Rhinolophus ferrumequinum: one gene and its partner. The main gene of each other region encodes a partner of the protein of the gene in region 2 in a complex. Links are inferred from orthologs where the notes say so. Each region holds a gene or a part of one and is shown on either strand. Other genes may lie near its edges.

Region 1 (7,898 bases), on a different chromosome or scaffold from region 2:
ACGACGTCCTTCAGGAAACATCCTTGCTTTGAATTTTAGAGTAGGGTACCCATTTAAAATGAAAAGAAGTAACAAGTGAAAATGTAAAAGTGTTTTGCTCTTGCCCCAACCCCTACCCCAAGCTCTGAAACAGCCACCCAGACTTACTCCCGGCCACAACCTGAGGGACTCCTGTGTCTTATGGGGTGTGTGCCCTCATTTCCTCATTTTACCTTCTGGGCATAGAAGTCTTAGCACCTCAGGCTTCCAGATGCCTTTGAAAATGTTTGAGTTCCAACATATAGGGGAGGAAAAAAAAGCATTGCAAAATCAGAATCAATGAATGTTTAATTAAAAGTCTAAAAACCTAATATTATGTCAAGTTCATTAACTGTTCCGTTTAGTCATCATAAAAATTTCATTACACTTAATTATATTTGAAACAAATTTATAGGTGAAATGGTCCCACTTTGCAAGAATTCCCAAGAATCCTGGACACTCAGTGGAGAATGTTTGGTCAATTGTAATTAAATGAATTTCTTGTAGGTAAATAATTCAGCAAACAAAATTATCACAAAATCATTTGATCATAAAAATAAAAGTTAGATGTGAATTGATTTCAATATATTTGTCGGGATGTGGAGAAGGGCTTTCCAAAAAGAATTGGTGGGGGAGGAAGAGTGTGAGAACTGCCCAGGGCTGGCCATGTCCCCTCTCCCTTTCAGGACCATCTCCTGCCACCTGCCACCTGCACACAGGGTCACTTTCCAAATCCCCATCTCTCCATGGATGAAAGTCCTCCTTTCCTTTGCCCCTGGGGAAAATTTCAAGTTTCTACCACAGCCTTCAATGCTCTGGCCCCTGTCCATCTCCCCAACTCACCTTCCACCCACCCAGGTCCCCTTTACTGGCCAGAGCTACAGGGAATGGTGGTGGATCGGGGACTCAGCCTAAGCCACCTGCCAATCCCTGGATTGGGCAGTGTGGCCTCTTCTGAAGCCGGAGTGGAAGGGGAGCCAGGAACCAGGGAGCGGGCCGTTCCCCTGCTCCCCGCCTCTGCCGTCCACGGACCCCAGCTTGCGCCCTGAGATAAAGAAGGCACAAAGAATTATTTGGTGAATGACCAGATGAATAAATGGGACTGCTCTGTCACCTCGGAGAGGCACCGCTGGAGACCACATAATGATGATAAGACTAGTTCCTGTTTATTGCACACGTACTACATGCTCAGTGCTCTGCTAGCACCTTTGGCACCTGATCTCTTCTAACCTTTGCAACAACCCCATGGTGTAGGTTCTGTTCTGAGGAAGAAGCTTTTCAGAGGGAGAAACTGGGCTCAGAAAGAGTAGGGACTCACTCCAGACACAGAGCTTAAAGGTGGGGTGCCAGGACCAGAGCCCTAGGTCTGTCTGACTCTAGTGGACACGGTGACCCATGGAGGCCGGCCGAGTTCTGCCTTGAAGGTGGTGAACAGCGCCAGGCAGGTCCTGCTGGGGCTGCCGCGGAGTCTGCTGCCTTCCACGCAGCACCTTCGCTTGGACTGTTTCACCCCCTCTGCCGATGGCTCTTGCAACCTTGACCCTGTCTCTCTCTGGCCACCTCTGGTTCTTTGACCTTTGCCCCTGACAAAGACACATTATTATCCACATTTGGTGCCTTCTGACCTTCCACTCCCACCCCTGAGGTGAATTCACAGAGGAAATGTCAAAAATAACATCCAGGCTGCCTGGTAGAACGGAGACTGCGGTTTGCCAATACAATGTGCAGTAAAAATATCTCTCTTTTAAAAGGGAGAGAGAGAAATTTAAAGACTTAAGATCAGTAACGTGCAATTATCATCTGGTTTGGGCGGAGACTTCTAATGGTTTCCAGAAAAACACAAGCTATGAAAATGGAGAGTGCATTCCAAAGCAAAAAGAGATGTGGGCTCCAGCAAACAGGGATGCCATCTTGGAACCTCTGTGGCCTTTGAGCTCCTTCCCAGACGGAGTACGAGGCACCAGCATCCTCACCTCCCTTCCTCTCCCCTTTTGCCTTCCACACTGGACAGAGCCTGGAAAGTGCTTCTGAACTCAGCCTTGGACCTGCTCAATACATAGGCCCCAGTGAACGACCATACCTAAAGGCACAAAGAAGATGTCCTCACTCCGTCTCTGGCGGGAACAACAGAGCCTTGCAATGGCAGGGACAGCCAGGTCTCCTCCAATATCTGTTGTCCCCTATTTTTTAAGTAATAAACCACCAATTTTAGCTGGGTGCCTTGTGATCCAGAATAACGACCATCTTCCCCAGCCTCCCTTGCCGGGACATGAAGCTAATGGAATGTGTGTGCAACTTGCAACTATTCTTAAAGGGGAGATACCTGTCCTTTTCCCTTTTCCTCCCTCCTGCTGGAAGGAATGCAGATGTGATGGCTGGAGCTTGAGCAGCCATCCTAGAGCATAAGGCCAACCTGCGAGTGAGGGCCATAAATGGCAGAGCAACAAAATAGAAGTGCCTGGGTCTCAATCCCGTGGTGTGCCAGGCCAAACCTGGACCGCCTACCAGGCTGTTAGAGGAGAAAGAAAGAAGCATCTAGACTGTTTAAGCCACTGATATTTGGGTTAAAAACAATCCTTATAGTCAAAATTACCTTGAAAATCTCTTAAATTGAGAAGAGAACACAAGATAATCTAAATCTTTAAAAGCGCGGGTCCCACCCAGTGTGGTGAGACGCTCTCAGCAGGTTCATGGCTTCCATGAATTCCAGACAGCTGTGGAATGCTCCAGGAGGGGCAACCCACCCACATTAAATTGTATTTTTTCTTCTCTCCCTCTTTATTTTTTATTTATTTACTTTTTTTGTCTAGGGCCTAAAGTTGTATTGTAAACATGTGTCACATTTTCTAACTTACGCAAATTTTGTGAGCACCAACTAAGTGTCATATAGATATGCTTTTTCTTATTTACCATCTCAGTTTTATAGTGAAAGAAACTGAGGCTCAGAGAGGTAGTGACCCACAGCTAGGGAGGAGCAGGTGGCAGCTCAGATCAGACCTGCCCTGGAGAAGAAGGTGAGGCAGCATCTTTGTCCAGGTGGCACCTCCCGGGGTACTTGGCCTTTCCAGCACAGTGGTTCCTGCTGCAGGTCCCTAAGGACCACTCAGACAGCCAGCGCTCCGCGTGGTTTCAGGATAGGAAAGAGAGACACTGGGGACAGGAAGGGACCCTCCAAACACTGCCCAGATGGCCAAGAGGGTGCCAGCCTTCACTGCTGAAGCACAAGTGGTACTTCCAGAAACCAAACTGACCCTCAGGATCAAGCTTGAGTCCCTCAGCCTGACCTGCAAGCCACCAGGCCAGGCACCTTCCACACAAAGAGATCAGCGGCACGCAGGGAACAAAGCAAGAAGCCTGAGCAGGAGCGGCCAGGGAGAAAGGGGGAGAAGCCGGGTGTCGGGCCAGACGGAGTCGGGGTTTCCCGGGGGTGGGGAGGGTGATAGGTGGGAGGTCCCCCCTCAGCCAGAGAGGACCAGGCAGAGGTGGGCCGGGGTGAGTGGGCGCCACCTGGTGGCCAGTCCGAGCACGGCGCCTCCCAAAGTCCACTGGGAGGCTCAGCGGGAGCCCCCTCCCCAAGGATGGGCGGCTCCACAGTCTTCCTCAACACCTGCAACTACCTCGCATTTAAAATTAATATTGTCAATTCATATGGAGATACACGCTTCTTCGGTTTTACATAAGACAGATACAAAAGCATTATTGTGGTTTCCTGTTTTTATTGTGTTGACCAAGACTTCCCCAACCTCACCCGCCAGGCGGATAACATCACCTGAACCGCCAGAGATTCAGATTTAACTGGTCTGGCTGTGGACTGGGTATCAGGACTTTCCCTGCTTGCTTAGCAAAGGCAGCTTGGAGACGAGCGTCCAGCACCCATTTATTTCCTCGCTGCTATCGCTGTTCCTAGGCCCTCCCTTTGCAGAAATGCTGAGCCACGGGTCCGCGGAGGGAACGCGGAAACCCACGAGCCCGCCTAGGCTACTGCACTGGGACTCTGAGCCCAGGGACTTCCGAGGCTGAGTTCTTCACCCGCTTGGGCTACCTCACACAGGCCTCTGTATAGGCCTGTTTCCCCTCCTATTACCTGAAAGACAACAGTGGCCCTGAACTGCTTGAGGGTCACCGGCCCGTTTGAAAATTTATGAAAAGCAATGGGTCCTTTTTCCAGAAACATGTGGGTGCCAACTGTGCTTATGACTGTAGATGGCACTGGTGGCTCTGATTTCTCAGCTGGATTAACCCCTTCATCCTCACCACGGCCTCCTCACTCAGGTAGCTGCTTTTACTAGTTTTACAGATGAGTAAATGGGGGCACAGAGAGGTTAAATAACTCACCCAAGGTCACACAGCCAGTAAATGGGTGGGGAGCTGGGTTAGGACCCAAGAATCTGTGGCCTTGGACAAGTGACCTCACCAATCTAAGCCTCGGTTTCCCCTCTGAGAAAAGAGGCCAGTACTAGTCTTTACTCGGTAGGTGAGCCAGAAGGGCACATGAGATTGGAAAACACACAGTAGCTGCTCATTAAGGACAGCTGTCATTTTGATACGCACACAATCTCCAGGCACCCACCCAGGAATCTTGGCCTGTGTGTTGGGGGGCGGGGTCAGGGTGGGCATCAATGGGCACCCGGCAGTTCGGGAAAACCCCCGGCCCCAGGGGATGCTCTAGTCTTGCCAAGCTCATCTCACCCCACCAAAGTCTAGTCAGAGGCTTCCTCTTGCTCAATACAGCTTTCGGTTTTGTTTCTTTCAAAAGCCACACACACCCGTTTCATTTTTCTTTTCCTCCACAAAGCTGATAAATGTGGGCAGGCTAGGCTTCTGTTTCCGTGATGTGAAGAGCTGACACCTGCCTGGTTGGAGCTGGCCTCCCTTCACAGCTGCCAGAAGCACCGGGCTCCACCACACGAGGACACCCAGCCCCACCTGGCTCACTCTCTCAAGGCCACAGTGCAGAAGCCTACAGCTGTCCCCCAGTCCCCCTGCCAAGCCACCCGGGATTTCCAGCAACTGCTGTCAGCATGGCCGAGGCCCCTGTGGACCCAAGTGAGACAGGTACTTTCTTCTTTCTAAGGAACAGCGGGAATCTGGGTGGGACTGGCACTTCTCTCTCTGGCTCCTTCGCTTGTCCCAGATGGCAGCAATGATAGCAACACACGTGCCATGCATTTTGCAATAACCTCAGCGGTAAGTACAAAGGTGTTTCCATTTCCCACGAGATCACCAAGCCCTGTGAGGTGAAAGGACTCAGAGCATCAGGCTGACGACAGGGCTAAGCACCTGGCTTCACACTCATTTCCAGAAAGAGCAGAAATTGCTTTGATTAGAAGTGCACATTTCCCCCGTTGTGTTCTTCCTCAGATAACACTCCCAGGAGGATACCAGCAGGGGTGAACCCTGTGCTCAGCCAGGTGGTGAACCATTGCTGCATTCTCCGGCCACCACTAGGGGCTTATGGGCTGTGGGCTGAGGGTGGTTTGGGGTGGAGGTGGGGGTGGGGTGTTGTTATCATTAGCTCATTTAATCCTCACCACAAGTTTTGAAGGAGCTGCTATTATCCCCACCTCACAGATGGAGAAACTGAGGCATAGAGAGTTCACACATCTAGTAGGTGGCAGAGCTGGGGCTCAAACCCAGGAAACCAGCCATCAGAGAACAAGAATGAGGAAAACAGGGTGTGCTGGGGAGGGGTGCTGGCAGGGTATGGCTCAGGTTCCTGTCCTACTTCCCCGTGGGGGACGGACACACGGGGACTGGTCAGTGGTGCTTAGGAACTGAATTTTCCTTCTTCCCCAGTGGGCTTTCCTCTCCTTACCAACTTGTTGCTTATACTTCTTCCATTTCACAACCTCCGGGATTTGTGGAAGGATCCCGCCCTTGGGGGATGGCCTTCATACACGTCTCTGACCTGACTCCTCCTTTGCCAGCAGGAAGGTGGAAGAGGGCAAGGAGGAGGCTCACCCTGGCAGGCTTTTCAAGAATCAAAACTCTTAAAAAAAAAAATCAAAACTCTTTTCAAGTCAAGGCAAAGCGAGATGTGTAGTGGGTTGGACGAGGATTTCTGGTGGCTGGGGTGGCTGCTCAGGGCCGAATGTGGTGGGTGAAGGGACCGGCGTCCCAGGTGTTCTAAGCGCACCTCACCTACGCGCAGCAAGGACAAACGCATTCTGACCACAAAGGGAAGCCACAGCGCCCAGCTGTAGAGCCAGCAGCTGAGTTGCCCCTCCCCCCAGAAAACCCCAGAAAGCAAAGGGTCGGATATGGCCACCGCCCTGGAAGGCAAGCCAGATCCACCCAAGAAGGGCCCTGCTTTGCATTACCCTTGGGGTTCTTGGGGGCACACACTTACTGATGACAGGCTGGGCTGCCACGCACAGCCGCTCTATCTTACAGGATCCTGTCCTCTCACTCCCCGCAGAGCAGCTGTCCCGGGTTTGTGGGATCCTGCCCGGGAGGAGCAGGGGCCCTTGGAGGGTTCCTCCTTGAGCCTCAAGGGATCCTGCTTAGGGTCGTTCATCTCAGGTGGGAAAACACAGACATGCTATCGGTCACCTGGGCCGACGTCTGTCCCAGTAGTGGATGAATCCACTCACTCACTCATTCACTCAGTCACTCATTCATTCCCGTGCCATTTCCTGAGAATCTACTGTGTGCCCGGCACTGCGCTAGACACCGAAGGTACAACAGTAAACCAGGCAATTCTGATGGGAGCTTCTTGGGGCAATTCTGTAGGGGACACACACACGTACAACACCCCGCCCGCTCAGGGCATCCAGGACAGCTTCCCAAAGGAGATGGTGTCTGAGTGAGACCTGCAGGGTGAGTAGACATCGGACAGGGGGAGGGGTGGGGAAACGTATTCCGGACAGGGAACAGCATGGGAAAAGGCCCAGGGGTGAGTGGGGCCGAAAAGAGCCCGGATGGGTTGGCACTTGGAAGGAAGTTGAGGGGGCAGTAAAGACCAGGCTGAGTGGTCAGCAGAGCCAGTTCTGGCTGCCAAGTCGAGGACTGGAGGGAACCTGACTGGAGTTGGACTTGCTGTCACTGTAGAGATGATGACACAGAATAGGGAGGTGGAAGCAGAGAAGAGAAGAAGGGATTCGAGAGAGCCGGAAACAGTATTTCCAGGACTCTGTGATTAGGCATCAGAGAGAGAGATCCGTTTCTGAATGTTGTGAGGTTGCTGGCTTGGGTGAATGTGACACCACCCATATGAGGATGGGAGCCCGGGAGGATTCTGCAGGGAGGCGGAGGCTGGGGTCAGGGCACAGAGGCATGCCTCCCAGGCGGTCACTCCGCCTCACTGCCCTGCCCTCTCTCCCCTCCCTCCTGCTCTCCTACCCTCACTCTCCTCATCCTGCCCCTGCCACTTCCCTCTCCTTTGAGGACACCTGAGAGCTGAGCGTCCACCTGCCCTCCAGGGATTGCTCACAGGGGGCAGAGGACCCGCGAAAGGCCTGGGTGCCTCGTCTGGCCACCAGGCCGTCTGGCCAAAGTCATTTCTGACCAGCCCATGTGCCCCTCACTGAACGAGGGTGGTGTTGGCAGATGTGTGCTCAGGCCTCTGCCCTGGATCCCTCTCACGGAGCTTCCCCTGCCCGCCGAGCCTCCAGCCCAGGCTCCGTTGTGGGGCCCTCAGTTCTCTCTCTGCCCCTCTCGCCTCTCCTAGACCTTGAGCAAAGCATCCTGCGGGTACTGAGGGAGGCTGGCTCCCCTGTGAAGACTGCCCAGCTGGTAAAGGAATGCCAAGTGCCCAAGAAGAAACTCAACCAAGTCATCTACCGGCTGAAGGCAGAGTCGCAGGTGGCCCTCGTAGGCCCCGGAACGTGGTGCTTGGGCGACGGTGGGACTGGAGAAGTGGTTCCTGCAGAAGGGGCCCA
Region 2 (7,383 bases):
CTTAATGCTGTACTCCACTTCTTGTAAATATATATATATATATATATATATATATATTTTTTTTTTATAACTATAATTATAGTTGACATTCATTATTGTTCAGCTTCAGCTTCAGGTGTACAATGCAGTGATCAGGCATCTCCATCATCCCTGAGGTGGTGTCCAGCAGATCCTTTTTTAAATCAGTGAGCCATCCCCTTTCTTTCTAGGGGTTTAATATGATGCTAATTGTTTTTGTGGTTGAACTTAGTGGAAACTGCTATTCCTTCTCGCATTTACATGTCCCATCTGGGGTAAGTTTTCTTTATCTTCTTGGTGCACAGCCACCAGAAATTTCTTTAGACTGTTAGTGGTAAACTCAGTTTTCATTTATTTAAAAATGTATTTTTATAAAACTTTTGCTCTTGAAGAAAATAACTCTTCTGGGTATATGATTCTTTGTTTACAGATTTTCCCCCTTTTTAAAAACACTTTGAATCATTTCCAGTCTCTTCTGGTTTCCAGTATGGCTGTCGAGAAGTGTGATGCCAGTTTAGTTATGTTCATTTTTAGATGGTCTATGTTTTCTCTGTAGCCTTTGAGATTGTTTCTTTGTCGTGATTGTTCTGCAGTTTCACTAAGATGTATCTAGATGTGTATTTCTTCATATTTATCCTTCTTGGTATAAATAGTGATTCTTATATTCCTGGATTCTTTCTTGCCTTTCATCAACTTTTGAAAACTATCAGCCACTTTCTCCTCAAATATTTCTTGGCTCGCATTTTTTTTCCTCTTCTCTCCTTCTGGGAATCCAATTTGCTAATTGTTGGACTGCCTCAGTCTTTGCCTCTTAATTCTTCTATCTGCTTGTCTCTCTTTCTGTATCCTGGGGAACTTCTTCAGGTCCGTTCTAGCACGCTACTTCTCTCTTCAGCTGTATCTTCTGTTTGACCAAGCATTGCAATTTTAATTTTAATAGTTATATACAAATTTTTATTTTTTGTTGTTCTATTTTTTCCCTAAATCTATCTGGGCATTTTTTTTTAATACTCTCTTATGACTTATTCACTTTTTCTACTACATCTTTTATTCTTTAAACATTTCATGATAGCTTCTTTAGATTCTTCATCTGATTATTCCAAATTCTGAAGTCCTTAAAGATCTAAAACTGTTGATTATTGTTGCTGCTGACTCTCCTTCATAGTTATTTCAATCCTTGTATATTTAGTAATTTTTTGGTGAGTTTATATTTGGGTGAATTTAATCCAGAAGACTGGATTGAGGATGCTTTCCTCTAAGGCACTCAGTTTGCTTCTGCTGGACTCCAGGGGACATTAATAATCTGGGCCACTTAAAAGTTTCAGCTTATGGTTTATTCGATCAAAGGGAAAGAGAACAGGTCGCACATGGAAACTAACACTTTTATTCATTTTAACATCTAGTGCTACAGCCTAGACAGATTTCCTTGTAGGTTCCCTCCGCAAGCAAGTAGACTTTTTTCTTTCCAGTGAGAAAAACTGACTCTTTGATGGTCCCAGCTTTTCGGGGATGAGGGTGTCTCATATTTAGCTCTTCCATCTTTCTAGGCCCTAAGGCTTATGCTCTGGTTCTCCCCTAATTTCCCATACCCTTATCCAGTCCCCAAAGCTCTAGGTTTCTAGTTAGTTGAACTCTCTGCTTACTCACTATATACCTTTTGTTTTGTATTGTCTTATTTTGTTGATTTCAGGGGATGCCCTTGGGAGATTACCTTTATTTTAAGGGAGCTCACTAAGGAACTTTTAACATATGTGTTTGTTGTGTTTTATATAGCATTTAAGTATTCTGCTATGGGAGGCTTTTAAGAACTCAGTCATACTACTGGAAAAGAATTTTTAAAACAAACAGAAATGTGATTATGTGGTACATACGAGTTGTTTTATAACCCGTTTTTTTTCCATTTGATATACGATCAACACCTGTCATATAAATAAATATAGATCAAGAGCATCCTTTTAACAGCTACATAGTCTTCCATTGAATAATTCACTCAGTCTTTTTTATTATTGGATTTTAGGGTTCTATTTTTTACTATTTTAAATAACATTTCAGTTAATATCTTTATAACTAAATTTTTGTATACATTGTGATCTTCTGTCTTCTTTAACTGTTTATAAAAGTAATATATGCTAGTATAAAATATTCAAACACTATGGAAAATGAAAATTCTCCATAATCCTTTTTGCCATCACCTTAATACCATTTGGTCTATGAGTAAAATCTCTTAATCAAACAACAGATGAGAATTAGTTAAGGCTAGACTATCCGAGAAGAAAGACCACATCCTCTGCCCCCACCCCCACAACTAAGGATAGGGAACCAGAGTGTGTACTGGTGGGCTGAAGATAAGCAAAGATAATCAGGAGCAGAGAACTGAAGGAATGACAGACACCCAAATAGACTCCAAAAGCCTGGGATAGCTGGAGTCAGGGGCACCAGGCCTCAGAAAAGTTCAGAGCTTCAAAAATCTAGGAATCAACTTTGCCTTGCCAGTGCCAGCCTAGCAGAAGCAGAGGGTCTTCTCAGGCACTCACTGCAGACTCACATCCCTGCTTCCCCTTCTTCTAAAGGGGTTTGGTTTATTTTGAGTCAGAAAGCAGGACAGGCTCTGACTGTCCCCAACCCTGTGCTTCATAGTGGGTTACCCCTGATTCTCCGGATCTTGTCCCAATCTAAAGAAATCCAACCATAGAAACACTCCTCTAACACGTTTCAAGCGGAGCCCCAATGTTGAGCCCAGAGTCTTCTACCAAAGGAGAATCACGATAGGAATGGCTGACATCTCTGATGGCTCTTAGCTCCTGACTAGACTTTTTTTGAGGACCTGCTGCACTTGCCTTTATAGTCTGTGAGATACCACCACATCTCTGTAATAAAGTCTACTTCAGATGGATTCTGTCAACCGTGCTGGTGAGAGCCCCTAACCCATAAAGAAGCCCAAGCTCCTCTTTCCTCCCAGTGAGTGTAGAGCTCCAGCAGGGATGGTCAGAGATTTAAGGAAGCCCCAGAAGTTTCGGTTGTTTATTTATTAATTCAATTCAACAAATATTTATGGGTGCCTACCATAAATAGGCTTTTAAACAGACTACAATCGAAGAGTTCCCTAAATACCTCCAAAATCGCATGGATGGACTCCACCAGAATTCATGAGTTGGAGTCTAGAGTTCCTAGCTGCTCTAAAAAACACAGTTAACTGCTGGCCACTTGTTCTCCAACCAGCACAGTCCATGGAATACCGGACAGAATAAAAAGTGCACACCAAGAGGAGACCTTCCAGTGACAGCTGGCACACGACCCGCAGGGTTGGGTCTCCCCATGAAGGACTGAGTGCCCAGGGTTAGCTGTATCTAGCTCCCACAACCTCCAGCCATGGTCAGGCCTTGCACGGGTAAAATAACCTTTGTCTACCTTAAATCCTTAAGGTTCCCTAAGCTCCTGAGTTCTAAAAGGCCCTTGTCCAGAGCATGTGCTTGTGGGGAATGTATATCAACCAAGGAATTTGCATGGAGGAATTGGCATGGGGGAGAGAGCAAGGAGGGCCTGAGGTGTTCCCACTGCACATACACCGTGTCAGCAACCCCCTGGCTGGGCCAGTCATCTTGCTGATCCTATTGCCCTGGGAGTGGGTTTTGCCCTTGACAGCAGACAAGTCACTACCAATGCCAGGGCTTGCCTCAGCAAGAGCAGCTGTCAGGAGGAACTGGGCAGGAATACAGACAGGGACCCTTCATCACACCGTCGGACGCTTTACACCTTCCTCAGCCACCTTCACCACTAGCTGAATGGTACAGCCCTGAAGCCTATGTGAAAATAGGAAAGTTTACGGTGATGATAAGAAAGCCAGGCACTGAAGTCAGTTCCTCACTGGCTTGGGCGAGGTAAACTCTCAGTGCCTCCTTCTCCTCACCCACAAAAAAGTCATAAAAGCAGTACTTATGCCCTTAGGGTCGATGTGAGAGTTATATAAACTCATATATGTACCTGGCACATGACAAGCTTTACGGGAGTGTTAGCTATAATCTTAGGGCAGTTGGGGGAGAACTGAGCCCCAGTACCGTGCAATCCTCCTCAGCACCGTCGCATCCCTAGCCCGGGCCCGGCAGGTAGTGGAGCTGGGATTGCTGTGGGAAGAGGGAGAGGCGCCGGCGGGAGAAGGGAGTTGATTATGAGTTCCTGCAAGGTGAGGACTTCTGCCGGGACACCCTAAGTGCCCAGTGACATCTAACGGGCTGTGGCATGCAGCAGGTGCTTTAGGAAATAACTAGTTAGAAAAGATAAGCACTAAGCTTCCGTTCGGCCTACCCCCCCCCCGCCCCCCCCCGCCCCTTTGGGGCGGGACTGTAGAGGCGCCTGACGGACAAGGAAGTTGTTCAGCGCTGGTAGGGAGAGAGACCCGGGAAGCGGGAAGCGGAATCGGTGAGGTGGCCTAGAGATTGACCTGTCTCCCCACCCCCAACCCTCTCTGCCACAGACTCCACTCGGAGAAGTCACTCCATCCATGTGGACTCACACCTTCCAGACTGATGTCTAGCCACGAGTTATGGTGAGTAGAGAATGGGACACACAGGATGCCCCTCCGGCTAGCTCAGGGACTGCTTTGTGCCCTGCCAAGCCTGGGGGACAGTGGGGCCCACAGGGGAGGCTGTGGATTGTACCGACCCTGCTGAGTCATGGGGGTCACAGCAGAGAACAGTGCAGACTTGAAGCCATGGCCAGCTGGTGAATGAGGTCCCCTCTCCCAGGCCCAGTGGTGCCCCAGCCCCCCTGGTGTCCATCGAGGAATTAAAGAACCCGAAGTACATTGGTGAAGGTGGGTTTGGCACAGTGTTCTGCGCACAACACAAGTCGTGGGGTATTGATGTGGCGGTCAAGATCGTGAACTCGTGAGTGCCCCAGCTGCATGCAGGCAGGCCACTGTGCCGCAGGTCCTGAATGGGGAAGGGAGGGATCTGCCCAGCAGCAGAGCAGTGACTCCAACTCTCTCCTGGAGTATAGGAAGGTGATATGCAGGGAGGTAAAGGCCATGGCAAGTCTGCGTAACCAGCATGTGCTGCTCCTGCTGGGCGTCACTGAGAAGCTGGAGTGGGACAACTTGTCTGGGCCAGCTCTGGTGACCCCATTCATGGAGAATGGTTCCCTGGTAGAGCTGCTGCAGCCCCAGTGCCCTCGGCCCTGGCCGTTCCTCTGCCGCCTGCTGCAGGAGTTGGTGCTCGGGATGTGTTACCTGCACAGCCTGAACCCTGTGCTTCTGCACCGGGACCTGAAGCTCTCCAACGTCCTGCTGGACGCAGACCTACACGTCAAGGTCAGCTCATCCGCACCCCAGCCCAGTCTCTAAACAAGGTCATGCCCCAGAGCTGCTCCAGCCCCACCCATTGGACAAAGCACCTGCTGCAGCCCTGCCTACTGAATACCCTCAGCATTTCCCTCTGCACACAGGGCTGCCCAAATGTCAAGGCCCACCCAGCAGCCTTAGCCTCTGCCATACCAAGTGATAGAGCCCTGACTGACACAGTTACTTCTACTGTGGGGCTCACCCCACTAGGCCCTCCACAAAGACCCATGGCTGACAGCCCAGGAGACTCAGCCCTTAACCCAGTCCAATGGAGAGGGGACCCAGGCCTCCAAACCAAGGACCTCACTGATCCTACCATGCCCCTAACCCTCCACACCCCCTTTACATGGCTAGGCCTGCACCTTCTCGGGGAAAGAAGGGGATGCCTGGCCCTGTCCACCCCTTTCCTTCTCCTTTGCCCTTCCCTTTGCAGCTGGCAGATTTTGGCCTGTCCACATTTCTGGGAGGCTCAAGGTCAACAGCAGGATCTGGGAAATCAGGGGGCACCCTAGCCTACTTAGCCCCAGAACTGTTGGCTGATGTAAACCGGAAGGCCTCTACGGCCAGTGATGTCTACAGGTAAGGTACCCACACCAAACACACATCCCAATTTCTGCACCTCTCTGGGCCCTTCCAGAGGGAGGTATATGGGAGAGGAGTCTTGTCAGCAGTTGGGCCAGGCCTCAGTTTTGTGTCTCCTGCAGCTTCGGGATCCTATTGTGGGAAGTGCTAGCTGGAAAAGAAGCTGAAAGTAAGGCTTTAAGCAGACTCTGGGATCCTTAACCCCAGGTGCCCTCCTCCTGAAAGTCCCCAAACCCTCTTCTTCCTGCTTACTTGCTCAGACTGTCCTATTCCCTCCTCACCTTTTCTTGGACTGCACTCCCGCCACTTTCCATGATGGAGCAGGTGGCCCCTCATACCCTGAATGCTTTGTCTTCATGTCTCCCACCGCACCCCAGTAGTGCCCCAGATATCGCTGATGCAGAAAGCCGTGTGTGAGAGGCAGAACCGGCCCCCACTGACTGAGCTGCCCCAGCCCAGCCCTGAGACTCCTGGCTTAGAAGAACTGACGCAGTTAATGCAGGACTGCTGCAGCAATGAGCCCAAGGACAGGCCTTCATTCCAAGGTGAGCTGGCCATTTAGCTGGTAGCTGGGGCAGGCCTGGATCTGTCAGCAGGGTCTTTGCCTGGGAAAGAAGTTTCGCTCACCTGCCACCCACTCTGCTTTCTCTCCAGACTGCAGACGACATACTGAGAAAGCCCTCCACATGGTACAGAATACAGGTGTAACTGGTACAGAGATGGATGTTGCAGTGTCCACAGTGAGTGCCCAACACCAACCCACACACAAAGAGCCGGGCGGAGATAGCACCAGATGGCTCCTGTGGCCCCCCAGTGACTCCCCACTGACCACTGTTCTTTATGCCTTGAACCTCATCCCCACTCTCTCCACCCCACCCCTGAATTCCCAGGCAACAGATTATGGACCAAGAGACTCTTTCCTTGGGTTTACTCTGTCTCTCCCACCTCCACACCCAGCAAGGTCCCCCTGTCCTTGCAGGTGAAGAAGTTCCTGTCTGAGCACAGGAGGTTTTCTGCCTCTGAGCCAGGCCCAGGAGGGACAGAAATGGATGGCCCTAGGGAAACCCCAGAAAGCCTTGATTCCATGGTCTCTGAGATGCTAAACCTGAATCTGGAAGGTTTGCCCAGCTCTGTTTCTGAAAAATGTATAAACCTTCCTAAGAAGATAGAGGCACAGGGAGAACAGACTCAGCATGCCCAAACAGCAAGGATGTCTTCTGATTCAACAGTCCAACCTCCCCCAAATCTGGAGACCTCACTTTTCAGAAACCAGAAGCCCAGCCCCACCTCGACTTGGCCACCAGGTGCTAGACCCCAAGGGAATCAGGTGAGACTAGGGGATGCAAATCCTGTCCCCTTGCCAGGGAAACTTTGGGATCAAGGGGTTATGCCATGGAAACAGGCCCCAGGACAGAGAGCCTGAGAGTGCTGTGCTGTTGTTTACAGGG

Evidence for each region.
Region 1: RIPK3 (region 2) and ZBP1 share a complex: the UniProt entries of both Homo sapiens proteins name them as parts of the AIM2 PANoptosome complex. The link is inferred for Rhinolophus ferrumequinum from reciprocal best matches to the Homo sapiens genes RIPK3 and ZBP1.

The regions. Positions count from the first base shown.
Region 1 is NC_046306.1:4,310,812-4,318,709, forward strand, and holds the start of ZBP1 (Z-DNA-binding protein 1), read left to right. Parts: upstream 1-4,798; 5' UTR 4,799-5,039; coding exon 5,040-5,073; intron 5,074-7,687; coding exon 7,688-7,898.
Region 2 is NC_046289.1:74,475,877-74,483,259, reverse strand, and holds the start of RIPK3 (receptor-interacting serine/threonine-protein kinase 3), read left to right. Parts: upstream 1-4,358; 5' UTR 4,359-4,397; intron 4,398-4,489; 5' UTR 4,490-4,541; coding exon 4,542-4,561; intron 4,562-4,760; coding exon 4,761-4,901; intron 4,902-5,013; coding exon 5,014-5,323; intron 5,324-5,786; coding exon 5,787-5,932; intron 5,933-6,057; coding exon 6,058-6,104; intron 6,105-6,312; coding exon 6,313-6,480; intron 6,481-6,589; coding exon 6,590-6,675; intron 6,676-6,914; coding exon 6,915-7,262; intron 7,263-7,381; coding exon 7,382-7,383. UniProt on the Homo sapiens protein: Serine/threonine-protein kinase that activates necroptosis and apoptosis, two parallel forms of cell death. Necroptosis, a programmed cell death process in response to death-inducing TNF-alpha family members, is triggered by RIPK3 following activation by ZBP1.